Linked DNA regions of Callithrix jacchus. The protein of the gene in region 2 interacts with the protein of the main gene of each other region in a biochemical or structural test. Links are inferred from orthologs where the notes say so. Each region holds a gene or a part of one and is shown on either strand. Other genes may lie near its edges. The genes, in order: FBXO7, PINK1 and BAG2.

Region 1 (4,159 bases), on a different chromosome or scaffold from region 2:
GTTATGATGCCTTTTAGTGGGACATAGTACAAACCCAAAAGCCCACTGCTAAACAAGCTCAGAATTCTTATAAGCCTGAAGCAACAAAATCCCATTCTTTCTGCACCACAGAATATTTGACATTAGAGAAATACAATGTTCTTCATCACATAGTGAGGGATAACTAACAAAACGTTATAAAACATTTTAAAAGATATGTACACTTGGCAATGCTAATTTCATTAATTTTTTGAGAGGTTAACAAAAGATGAAGTCCTTTAAAAATTATGTTGTTTACTTATTCTCATAAAGCTGTATTTTGAAAAGTGCTCCAAATAATTCATGTTTTTATTTCACTCATAAATATATTTTTTTCTTAATAATTGAGGTGTCTTTGGGAGAGAAATTAAAATTAGTGAAATAGAAGCCATTCCTGTTTGTCAGAAAACAAGCAGCCCTGTTTCTGTTTTCAAAATGCTTTGATAAGCAAAAAGTTGAAACTCTGCCACTAGCCCACAAAAACACCATCCCAACTTTGGCAGAAAAAGGAAAAACACCTCAAATGAACTACATGTTTATGGGTCATTTGTCACAGCAAAAGGTTGCTTTTTTAAACAGCATCTAGTACAATGTACATTCAAATATCTGTAGAAAAGGTCATGGTCTGCTTAATAAATATACCAGCTTTTCCTCCCACTTTAGAAAACGGGAAAAGCTATTTCTAAAGAAATATGTAGTTTTCCAGGGTTCTATCTCTGAAATTGGGGAGTTAAGAGGAGTATTTAATTCCAGGAAATGAAATTCTAGAAACTCCAGGCTTTTTAAAAGTATTTCATGGCTGCTCTGCCTATGGAGTGGCCATTCTTTTCTTCCTTTACTTTCTAAATAAACTTGCTTTCACTTTTCTCTTAAAAAACAAAAATGAAACAAAAGTATTTTATGACAATCCTAGATCCACTTGCTCAGTATTTTTAAAATAATATCATATGGACATATTTTAAAACTGCTCACTTAGTAGAAGATGAGTATACTTTCAGAAAAAAAGAGTTTACTTTCACAAGTTGATGCTTAAATTCTTTCCAGGTAAGCAGCCTCAACTGTAAAAACAAATCTGAAAGAGAAACCAACTTGCCCCTTTGGGCAAACAGCCATATTGAGTTTCACATCTTTTCAGGACTGCCTAATTTAAAAACAATAAAATATATATACACCTTTAAAAGATAAGTTAATTTTGAAGATTTATTCAATCTTCTACTGGTAACCTACTGGTAATGATGCCAATATGGAAAACACACAGGTTTAACAAGAAATAACAGTAGGCATGTCACTTACTATAATGTTTAAAAGGAGTTATGTCAGCATCTTATTTAAGGTTTTTGTTTGTTTTTTAATCTGGAAGAAAACAGGCTTACTTTCAACCTAATAATGTCTTAACCTGAAAAATGAAAGGGTGAGAAGTTTGGAATAACGGCCTCATATTATGCAATCCCTAAAAATAAGGTGAAAACGGGGAACATTGTTATTTTTCCTCAGCACACTCAAGTTTCAACTTCACTAGCTCAGTATTTGAAGAAGACCACTCTTACACTGTCACTTTACTCCCAGATTATTGTCTCCCCCAAAAAAATATCTTTTGGGGAAACAAAGCACCTTATCTGGAGTCCCATAAACGAATAACCGAATATGATCCTTTCTCAACTTTATGCCCCCAAACTGCAAGCTCTCAAGAGCAACGTTTTCCTCAGTTTTAACAAAAAGCAACATTTCGCCCAGGAAAATCGAATGGTCTGAAAGACGACTACACGCTGTACTTTCTAAAACTTTTCAGCAGCAGCTAAGTCCAAGCACTCACCGCGGTGCCTGGTGCACGAACCACTCTAACAGAGTCCTAAAATTGCTGCAGCTTCACAGCAGCGATAAAAGCTGCCTCCGATGGAGGGCAGATTTTTAACTTGTAGCAATTTCCAAACTTTTTCATTGAAATACTCCAACAGCTGAAGAAATTAACTCGGACCCCCGACAGTCCAGAAAGGTTTAACCTAAGCCAAGCTCATCATTTCCAACTTGAAATTTAACCAGTTGTGGGAACTGTGAGTTCACTCTTCTCCCTGGTTTCGTGTACTGCAAAACCAGAAGCCATGACTCACCAAGCAGAGGACCAGAGCCCCCAAGAGGCTGGGCCATGTTCTCCAGGAGCCGGACCACCGACGACCACCTGCGCGTCCAGTCGCCGGCAGCCTAGGGCTCCGCGACGCTCGGGAGAGCCCGGGCCTCACGTGATGGCCCCGGGGCGTCCACGCATCTAGCCTAGCGCCCGGCCACGCCCGCGCCGGCAGCCCACAGATGACTCCAAGCCGCCCAGCACCCACCTCGAGCACTCCCCACTACCCACGGGCCGCTCCGCCCCCGGCACCCGCCTACCTGTAGCCCCAGGTGGGAAGCAGGGCCAGGCTCAGGTGCGTGCGCAGCTGCCCCAGCGTCGGCTCCGCCTCTGGCACCTCCACCTGCTGGGTCCGTTTCTCAAGCCGTACCCGCAGCTTCATGACGGCGGCGGGATCCGCGAGGATCCTGGACCCAGAGGCGGCGACGGGGACAGCGGGGGGGCCGAGCCGCTCCTGCTTCAAACGGCTGCGACCCCGGAGTGGCGACTACGGAGCTGAGGGATTGCTGAGGCGGAAAGGGGAAAGAGCCCCACTACGGTGGCCGCCCTGCTGGCCGGTCTCTGGAATGTGAGCACCCGCCCCTCTCCTGAGGGCGCCCCCTGGAGCCGACCCCGAGAGCGGGCGGCAGGCAGGCGGCTTACAGGAGCCTGGCCGCGGGACTTGCGGGGGGGTGGGAAATTGACCGATCGATGACTCGGCGCGCAACGGCTCTACCTGATAGCATGGGCACAGTGCGCAGGCGCCGAGATGCAGCTTTACGTTGGCTTCCCAGCTCTTCCGCCGCGGTGAATGAGACTTCCTGAACTTGCTAACGTGGAGCAACCGTGGTGCTGTTAGGGATGCTGCAGACAATAATACAGTCGTAACTCCCCGGGACCTAGTGTCACGCCATTTCTTCCGCGGCCCCCAGCTCCAGCGGCATCTGCTCTGAGAAGACTTAGGTTAAAAGTCCTTAGGTTGGCCGGGCTCAGTGGCTCACGCCTGTAACCCCGACATTTTGGGAGGCCGAGGCGGGTGGATCACTTGAGCCCAGGAGTTCGAGACCAGCCTGGGCAACATGGCGAGACCCCGTCTCTACAAAAACTTAGGCGTAGTGGTGCGTGCCTGTAATCCCAGTTACTTGGGTGGCTGAGGCGGGAGGGTCGATTGAGTCCAGAGGTTGAGGCCTCAGTGATGGCACCACTGCACCTCAGCCTGGTTCCACAGAACGAGACCCTGCCTTTAAAAAAAAGTAGAGCTGTTTGTAGGCGGTGCTCTATGTTGGACAGTTTATTAGAAATCTGTTGCTGCATAACAATCACCCCAAAGTTTAATTCCATAAACATTTGTTGTCCCACAGGTTTTAGAGGTCAGGGATTTGCGGATACGTAGCTGGGTGGTTCTGTCTCCAGGCCTCCCATGAGGTTACAGTCAGGGTGTAGGCCAGGGCAGCAGTTATTGGCTAGGGCCAGAGGATCGGCGTCCAGGATGACACAGGACTGTTGGCTGGAGACCTGTTTTTCACCACATGAACCTCCCCATAGGGCTGTTTGAGTGTCCCTATGACACGGCAGCTGGCTTCCCTCAGAGCAAGTGATTCCAGAGAGACCAAAGCATAAGCCACAATGTTTTTTATTACCTAGCTCCAGAGGTCACATATGGCTATTGTCATATTTACAAACCAACCTTCTGTGAATCCACCAAAGGCATGAATGCCAATAGACTGGGATTGCTGCTGGCCATTCTGGAGGCTGACTACCATAGAGGGTCTAACTAATGATAACTTAGATGAGAAAGAATAATCAAGTTTCATCCTTGTATGATAACCATAGTCCAAATCCTTGTAAGAGTCACAAAACGTTTCTACCAGTAGGTGGCAGCACTTGTCCACATCGCGCCCTTCATTCTGCAAATAAATATGTACTGTCTACTTTGTAACAGATGCTCCACATGCTGGAGACTCACAAAAAGACGTGTTTCTGCCCACGCAAAGTGTATAGCTGAGTGAATCAGCTCTTGCAGTAGAGTGTAAAAAGTCT
Region 2 (3,574 bases):
GCTACCAAGAGGCTCAGCTACCTGCACTGCCCGAGCTGGTGCCTCCAGATGCTAGACAACTGGTGAGGGCACTGCTCCAGCGAGAGGCCAGCAAGGTGAGATTGTCCCTGGCTTCAAGAGGACAGTGTGGGTGGAAACCTCAGTTCTCGTTCCAGAGTGAAGATTAAGTTTGGGCCAGCACCATGGTGACAGAGCCTTTGTTAGGAAGGTGGAAGGTAAAGCCTAGTTATAGGAGAATAAAAAATAGATTTTAATGTAGATAAAAGTAGGAGTGTTAGCCACCACATCATTGTCAGAGTCCTAGTAGTTCAACTCCTGTGGCTATTTCAGTTGCTTAAAAAGTTGTTCAGAGGCCGGGTATGGTGGCCTATAATCCCAGCACTTTGGGAGGCCGAAGCGGGCAAATCACTTGAATCCAAGAGTTCCAGACTAGCCTGGCCAACGTGCTAAACCCCATCTCTACTGAAAATACAAAAATTAGCCAGGTGTCATCACATGCCTATAATCCCAGCTACTTGGGAGGCTGAGGCAAGAAAATCTCTTGAACCTGGGAAGTGGACGTTGCAGTGAACCAAGATTATGCCACTGCACTCCTGGGTGACAGAGCAAGACTCTGTCTCAAAAAAAGGATGTATTTTGGAGAAAGTTTGTTTTTTGTTTTTTGTTTTGAGATGGAGTCTTGCCCTGTCATCCGGGCTGGAGTACAATGACACGATCTTGGCTCACTGCAGCCTCCACCTCCTGGGTTCAAGCAATTCTCCTGCCTCAGCCTCCCAAGTAGCTGGGATTACAGTTGCCCACCACCATGCCCAGCTAATTTTGTATTTTTTTAGTAGAGACAGGGTTTCACCATGTTGGCCAGGCTGGTCTCAAACTCCTAACCTCAGGTGATCCACCCACCTGGCCTCCCCAAGTGCTGGGATTACAGGCGTGATCCACGGCACCCAGCCAAGAAATGTTTAATGGAGATGTAGCTCATGGAAACAGCTGAGAACTGATCAGAGAGATAAATGAGAAACATCTTCCGAGAGCAGATGTGGACATTATGAAATTAATATAAAGGAATGCAAAGGCAGACCTATCTGAAGCCATAATTGGAGTGACAGCTGGCTCAGGGGCAGGCTTAGTGCAAAGAGCTAAGCCATACCTGCATGCCAGCACTGTTTTGCCACTCCGTTAACCACTCCCTGTACGTGGCCTGCTTATCTTGGTCACAGTAGGTGCACAGTGAAGGTTAGAAACTGCAATCAGTTATGAAATGATTAGAGACAACTTAAAGGGACCAGACAGCACAAGAGGCACTGGGCTTTCCACCAGGAGGAAAGGCTATTCCAACAAGCATGCTATCCCATGCAGAGGTGTACATGTGGAAAAGCTTGGAGCATGGGTAGGGGGCAAGCCGTATTTGTCACCTGAATAAAGGACATCAGTAGGAGATAGGGTAGAGGAAGAACTGGATTGGGGCCAGAGAAAGGAAGACCCTCACTAACAAAGCACGCTTTGGGTTGAGACTGTGTTAACAGATGTTGTAGCTTCAGCTTCCCTTCCTGTTGCAGAGACCATCTGCCCGAGTAGCCGCAAATGTGCTCCATCTAAGCCTCTGGGGTGAGCATATTCTACCCCTGAAGAATCTGAAGTTAGACAAGATGGTTGGCTGGCTCCTCCAGCAATCGGCTGCCACTTTGTTGGCCAACAGGCTCACAGCGAAGTGTTGCGTGGAAACAAAAATGAAGATGCTCTTTCTGGCTAACCTGGAGTGTGAAGCGCTCTGCCAGGCAGCCCTCCTCCTCTGCTCGTGGAGGGCAGCCCTGTGATGTCCCTGCATGGAGCTGGTGAATTACTAAAAGGAGAAATTGGAAGGCTCTGTGTCATGATGGTCTGTGAGTAGTGAGGGTGGGAGTCAGGAGACAAGATGGTGCAGAGAGCGTTGGTTAGCCAAAGAGAAGGCCTCAGGCTTGGCAAATGGAAGAACCTGAGTCAGAGTTCAGTCTGCAGCTGCTAACTCTAGCTGTGCAATTTGGGATGAATCTTATAATCTGTGTGGACTTAAGTTCTCTTGCCTGTAAAACGAAGAAATTGGTATAAACCAGGAGTTGGCCACCTTTCCGGTTGTGACAACTAGTCAGTCTTCCTTGTGGCACAAAAGCAACCCTGAGCACGTAATAAGTGTGGCTGGGTGCCAGGAGAGCTTTATTGATGGACACTGATGTTTGGTTTCCATGTGTCACTAGTCTTTTCAACCATTTAAAAATGTAAGGACCATTTTTAGCTTGCAAGCCATATACAGGTTGCAGGCTAGATTGGCCCACACACCAGTTTGCCAACCTCTGGTCGAGATGAATTTGAAGAATCTAACTCTACAAAAAAAAAAAAAAATTTTTTTAAAGCAAACTGATCACTAGGTCTGTTTGTGCGTCCATACTGGGAAGAAAAAAAAAAAATGTGGTAAGCTTATCCCTGTGTAGGAAGCCGAAGGAATGCATTCTCTTCACCGGTCAGGAAGGTAACTCAGGCTTGATTGCAGACTTCAAAGCCCTGTCTTCAACCCTTGCCCTGTCCTCGGACGTCTGAAAAGTTAGTGGCCAAGCTGATGTATCAGAGGAGGCTGAACTGAGGAGGGGTAGGCCTGCATCCACAGCAGAGGATCCAGGCCAAGGCACTGGCTGTCAGTGGCAGTTTGGCTGTGACCTTTGCCCCTAACACGAGGAACTTGTTTGAAGGAGGCAGTGTAGCATGTCTGCATTTGCCACCTGGACAAAGGCAGCCATCAGCATGGGTCAGCACATTCAGTTATAGGAGTGGGAAACGTCCACACGAGGCTTGGGAGGTGGGGGCCTCTGTGTTCCCAAGCTGTGCATTCTGGACCAGCTACTGAATTAATCCCACATAGCAAAGGTGACTGATGAGCAGGAAGTGTGGGGATTTAAACTTGAGGGTTTCCCTTCTGACTAGCATCTCTTACAGGAATTGTGAAACATTAAATGCAAATTTACAACTGCAGACGACATATGTGCCTTGAACTGAGTATTTAGTTTTAAGAATGATTCTTATATGCTGAAGGTAAGAACATTTTGTGGGCAGTTATCAACACTGGGAAAAGATTTCACATATAACTTTATACATGATTTTTAGAACATGGCTATTGCCTAAACAAAGCAAGGGTGGAATGCAGTTAAAATGTGAACATACGGTTAAGGTTCTCTTCCACCGAGCCGTTCTAGCCTTCTCTTACCTGGCTCTATCTTTCTAGATTTCCCATTATTTCAGTGAGTCCCGCCCCTTGGTCTACTAGCAGCTTTCTTGTATCCTTTGAGGAGACCTTAGGAAACACCATCACTTCATAGTTAAAGACAGTCCAGTCTTAGGCAAAATTTCACAAAGACACTTAGGATTTTGTATCCAGTCAGTCATGACCAAACAGCACCCCCATCCCCAACCATAAGCAAAGCAGGACAGAGGCCAGGTGAAGTCTGAGGGCAACGTCTCTCTTTATTTTAGAAATGAGAGTGACTTCACATATGAAAAATGCCACTTAGCAATTCAAAGTGGATAAACTTACATAAAAATGATCCCG
Region 3 (4,272 bases), on a different chromosome or scaffold from region 2:
TGCAGTCCAAAGAAAAAAGGCTAGTGTTTAGATAAATTCCATTAGAGATAAATAAAAACCTTTAACAGTTAGTAGAACTGCTGTCAAACATTTTAAATATCATGTAGGTCAGTTCATACTCCAGGTCACAAAACATTTGGCATAATCCTATTTTCAGTTTCATAGGGAAGAAATTTCTTACTCAATTGATAGGACCAATGTGGTTAGGGAACGTTAAGTGCACACAGCTAAGTACAAACTGTAAGGTTTTATTCTACCCAGTTACACTACTTTATTACTCAACATACAATCAAACTACTAGAGCAAAATTACATAAGAGTTTCCTAGTTTCTTTTAAAAATCAACCTTGTTGTACTCATGATTCTCGTTTTAATAGTGTAGTGTTCTGTGCCATTGCCCATGTGGTTTCAAAAAAACTTTAATAGGATCAGTATTAGCATTTTTTCTCTATTTTTGCTTACCTTCAGAAATCCTTTTCAGCCAGTACTACTTTTTTAAAAAGAAGAAAAAAAGCCTACAAAAGTCTAGAACTACTAAAAAAAAAAGGCCTTGAAACAAACAGCCACATATTAATCAGACTTTTCTCAACTCAAATATTAAGCAAGTTGTAATTTAATCAGTGATGTGCAGTAATCAGAATTCATTTTACATTAATCAAACATTAGAATATAATAATCTTCAAAACCTGAGGCTTTATTTTAAAGAGGAGCACTTCAGAGTGCTTTTGTACCTACCACATGTGAGGCATTTCAAGTTGGAGGACAATGACTCCGCTTGAAGGAAGGCAGGGTGGAGTAGCATCCTCCCTATTCCTTTAGGAAAAAATCTTTTCTTTCTAAGGGAGAGCCAGAGTGAAGTGGTTGAGAACATGCCCTTAACATTCTTAAGATATGGAGAAGTGTGGGTTACTTGTTACGTGGCTCCCTAAGGAGAAACATTATCAGTTGGAGGGACTTCAAGTAACTGAAGCCACTAATTTCTGCTTTCGCTCTACTTTTCCTGGGAGTGGAATGGGTCAGGTTTGCTAGTACATAGAAAATCCATGAGGAAGCATTACTTCTCTCTTCCACTTGCCTAATTCTGAGTGGAACCCCAAAACCCGGCGTAGGGCTGAGGTTTCTCTGCTGCCATCCATGAAATTATCGTGAGTGGAGAATCTCTCCCTCTCTGGCTCTTTTCTCCCAGTAGTAACAGTAACAGTGCCTCACTAGTTAAGAGATACCGTGGTTATTGAAGTATTTTCTCGGCAAACGGACACTTCATGCTTGGGTATACTAATGGAGGGAGATAAAGACACACACAGAGTGTTTCCCCAACTTTTTGGCTCACATGCCTCTGCTCATGCACAACCTAGAGAAAAAGATGGAACCAACTCCTGTGTACAGATTCAGGGGATTGCAGGTGCCTAACACGATTTTCTTTTAACTACACTTGTTCACAAAAATTTCACAGGAACTTGAAACAAACATTCAACAGGAAGTATATAAAACTTTTCAATACACCGTTAAAGTCCTTCCATAAATCTATTAACATTAAATTGTTTCGAAATTCTACGCACGTCTACTTCTATATTACCTAATAAAATCTTAAGCAAGAAAAGGAGAAAACTACCTTTTCATGCTTTCAGGCCAGAGACTATCACTTAGTCTTCCATGCAGGGAGGTGCCCAGTACGGAGAAACTAACGGAGCGGCTGAATACCGCCAGCGAGGTTAGGGGAGACAGGGGAGGCAGCAACGTCTTCACTGCACTAAACACCCAGTAACCCTACCACCCACCCCTCACCCCTCTCTAATCTGCTCTCAATGGATCGCGGGGTTGGTTTTGTTTTTTTCCATTTTTGCTCCGAAGTGCTCTGAAGCAGGGAAACTTAATTTCACGTGAAGGGCCACTGTAAACTGCTGCCTCCTTTAAAAACGCATACGGGAAAAGAGTAAGTTAAAAACATCTGGGGCCACACAGAAGGTTCTAGAAGTTCTGCAGACCCCGGCTGCCACAGTCCTTAATCGCATGGAATCTCACCGGGACTTTTATATCCTCTGATTTTTTTTCCCACTCTCCAACACCCAGGTAAGTCAGAGTGTGGCCACTGATTACGCCCTCACAGGTTTAGCTTAAATCGAACGCGTCCTCTGTCGGACTAGGGGAGAAAATCCGAGAAACAAAACTGCTCCACGTCCATCCACCACAAATCTCAACAGGAAACTTCTGCGGCCGCCGCCTCACTGTGCCCCAGACCCCGGCCAGCCACACACGGCCTCCGTCCGCGAACCGCGGCGCAGCTAGCAGGACGCCCGAGACCGCCCGCCCGTCAGCCCGCTAGCCCGCCAGCCCGCCGCTCACCTGAGCTCCAGCTGGTCCAGGCTCTCCAACAGGCGGCTGGAGCGGTCGGCCATGGAGGAGGAGCGGCAGAAGCGCCCCTCGTTGGCTTTAGCGTTAATCTTCGCTTGAGCCATCTAAGCTTCTGACGTGGGGCAGCCGAGAGGTCACCGGCCCCTCCGGCGGCGGCGAATGGAGCGCTCCTGCGGCTGCAAGCGCTGCCGTCACTACGCGGGAGCCCGCCCTCCCCGCCTCTGACGCCCGCGGGAGCAACCCTAGAGGACCCGCTAACACCGCGGCTGCCGCGTGGCCAAACAAGGGCAGGCGCGGCGCCCGCGGGGCTCGGGGATGCCGGGCCAGCGAGGGAGCAGCCGCGGCCGGAGGAAGAGGTGCGCGGACCACGAGCGCAAGGCTCTGAGGCGCCAGGAGGGGCGCACGCAGAGACGTAGCGCTTAATGTGGTCTGCCGGGTCTGCCGCTTGTCTCGTCAGCTCCTCAGACCCAGGAACTACCCGAAGCGCGCGCGGACCCACAGACCACCCCCAGCTCCGCCCTGCGAGGCCCCGCCTCTCCGTGCAGACTAAAAGTAACCAACTCCCCCCACGCGAAGGTTCCTATCGGTCGATGGGCTGTGGGTGTATTGCTCAGTAATGGGTTCGTTTAGTTTCTCCCAGCACCCATAATTCAAAGCAAGAACAACGACATTTGAGTCCTGTGATATGGGGAGAAAACGGCCTTATGTAAAACACAAGGCAGTACAGCTTCTAGGCAGACTACACGCACCTGACCTTCCTATTACCACTCTTTCCTGAGATGAGTAATGAAAGCACCTACAGCAACTGAAGCTTTGAAAAAGAAAAAGCTATTCCATCTCTCCTTGTCTAGCTAGATGTGGGAAGCAAGGTGAATATATTTCATTTTTACCATTCTATTTTGAATTTGAGACTGGGTCTGTCACCCAGGTTGGAGTACAGTGGCACGATCACGACTTAGTGCAGCCCTGACCTCCTGGGTTCCATCGGTCCACCCACCTCAGCCTCCCAAAGTGCTGGATTACACGCTGGGCTTAATGAAGGGGTTTTTAATTTTTGCTATTAAAATTATGCCTGTTAAGTGAACCAAGATCTCGCCAACTGCTTCACACCAGCCAGGGCGACAGGGCGAGACTTTGTCTCAAAAAATAATAATGATAATACTTCTGAGTGAAATAATTGGTATTAAGGAGTCTTCAACTTTTAAAAATCTTCTGTTAACAAAAAGATGCAGAAGGCCTCTAGGTCAGGCATGAGCTGTAGTTGACAAAAGATGGAGTAGAGCTGAGAGTATAAAGACTGGACTACTTAAAAAGTGAGGCTTTGGTCCCTCTCCTGATAGCTCTATGCCTCTCATTGCAAGGATGAAAATCTACAAGGCACAGAAAATGATAGATAATAATAGTTTAAAGTTGAACCACCACCTTTAATCAAAGAGATCAAAGCAGTTTAAATACTTGAACAGAGTTGAAGCCCTTAAGGCTGGATCCCAATTCCCTCTGAACTCATTCTAAATCCTAATTAACTATTGGGGTAGGGGATTATTTGACCTTATTAAAAATACTCTGTCATGACACAAACGAAATCAAAACACATTTTGTGAGTGGTCTGAAAGCCTATCAAGTGACTTTGGAATCATCCTGAACTCTTTTTCTCTCATAGCCTACCTAGATCCAGCCTATTAGTAAATCCCATCAATTTTACCTTCAGAATCTATCTAGATTCTTCCCAATTATACCCCACCATTCTGGTTCAAGCTACCTGGTAAGATTGCACTTGGAGTACTACAATAACTTCCTCTCTGGTCTCCCTGCTTCTACTCTTGTCTCTCATGTACATATTATCTCAGTGCAGCAATTACAGCAATCCTAAATAAGGGAGATCATACCATTTATTCTCAGAAACTCTCAATGGCTCCTCACC

What was found.
Region 1: the proteins of PINK1 (region 2) and FBXO7 form a complex in vitro, tested with the Homo sapiens proteins (2 studies listed by BioGRID, with this or other methods). The link is inferred for Callithrix jacchus from reciprocal best matches to the Homo sapiens genes PINK1 and FBXO7.
Region 3: the proteins of PINK1 (region 2) and BAG2 form a complex in vitro, tested with the Homo sapiens proteins (2 studies listed by BioGRID). The link is inferred for Callithrix jacchus from reciprocal best matches to the Homo sapiens genes PINK1 and BAG2.

The regions. Positions count from the first base shown.
Region 1 is NC_133502.1:203,544,387-203,548,545, forward strand, and holds the start of FBXO7 (F-box only protein 7), read right to left. Parts: upstream 2,806-4,159; 5' UTR 2,523-2,805; coding exon 2,401-2,522; intron 2,388-2,400; exon of another isoform or gene 2,164-2,387; coding exon of another isoform or gene 2,127-2,163; intron 1-2,126. UniProt on the Homo sapiens protein: Substrate recognition component of a SCF (SKP1-CUL1-F-box protein) E3 ubiquitin-protein ligase complex which mediates the ubiquitination and subsequent proteasomal degradation of target proteins and plays a role in several biological processes such as cell cycle, cell proliferation, or maintenance of chromosome stability.
Region 2 is NC_133508.1:57,507,090-57,510,663, forward strand, and holds the end of PINK1 (serine/threonine-protein kinase PINK1, mitochondrial), read left to right. Parts: coding exon 1-95; intron 96-1,556; coding exon 1,557-1,814; 3' UTR 1,815-3,000; downstream 3,001-3,574. UniProt on the Homo sapiens protein: Serine/threonine-protein kinase which acts as a sensor of mitochondrial damage and protects against mitochondrial dysfunction during cellular stress.
Region 3 is NC_133505.1:65,540,623-65,544,894, reverse strand, and holds the start of BAG2 (BAG family molecular chaperone regulator 2), read right to left. Parts: upstream 2,828-4,272; 5' UTR 2,456-2,827; coding exon 2,343-2,455; intron 1-2,342. UniProt on the Homo sapiens protein: Co-chaperone for HSP70 and HSC70 chaperone proteins. Acts as a nucleotide-exchange factor (NEF) promoting the release of ADP from the HSP70 and HSC70 proteins thereby triggering client/substrate protein release.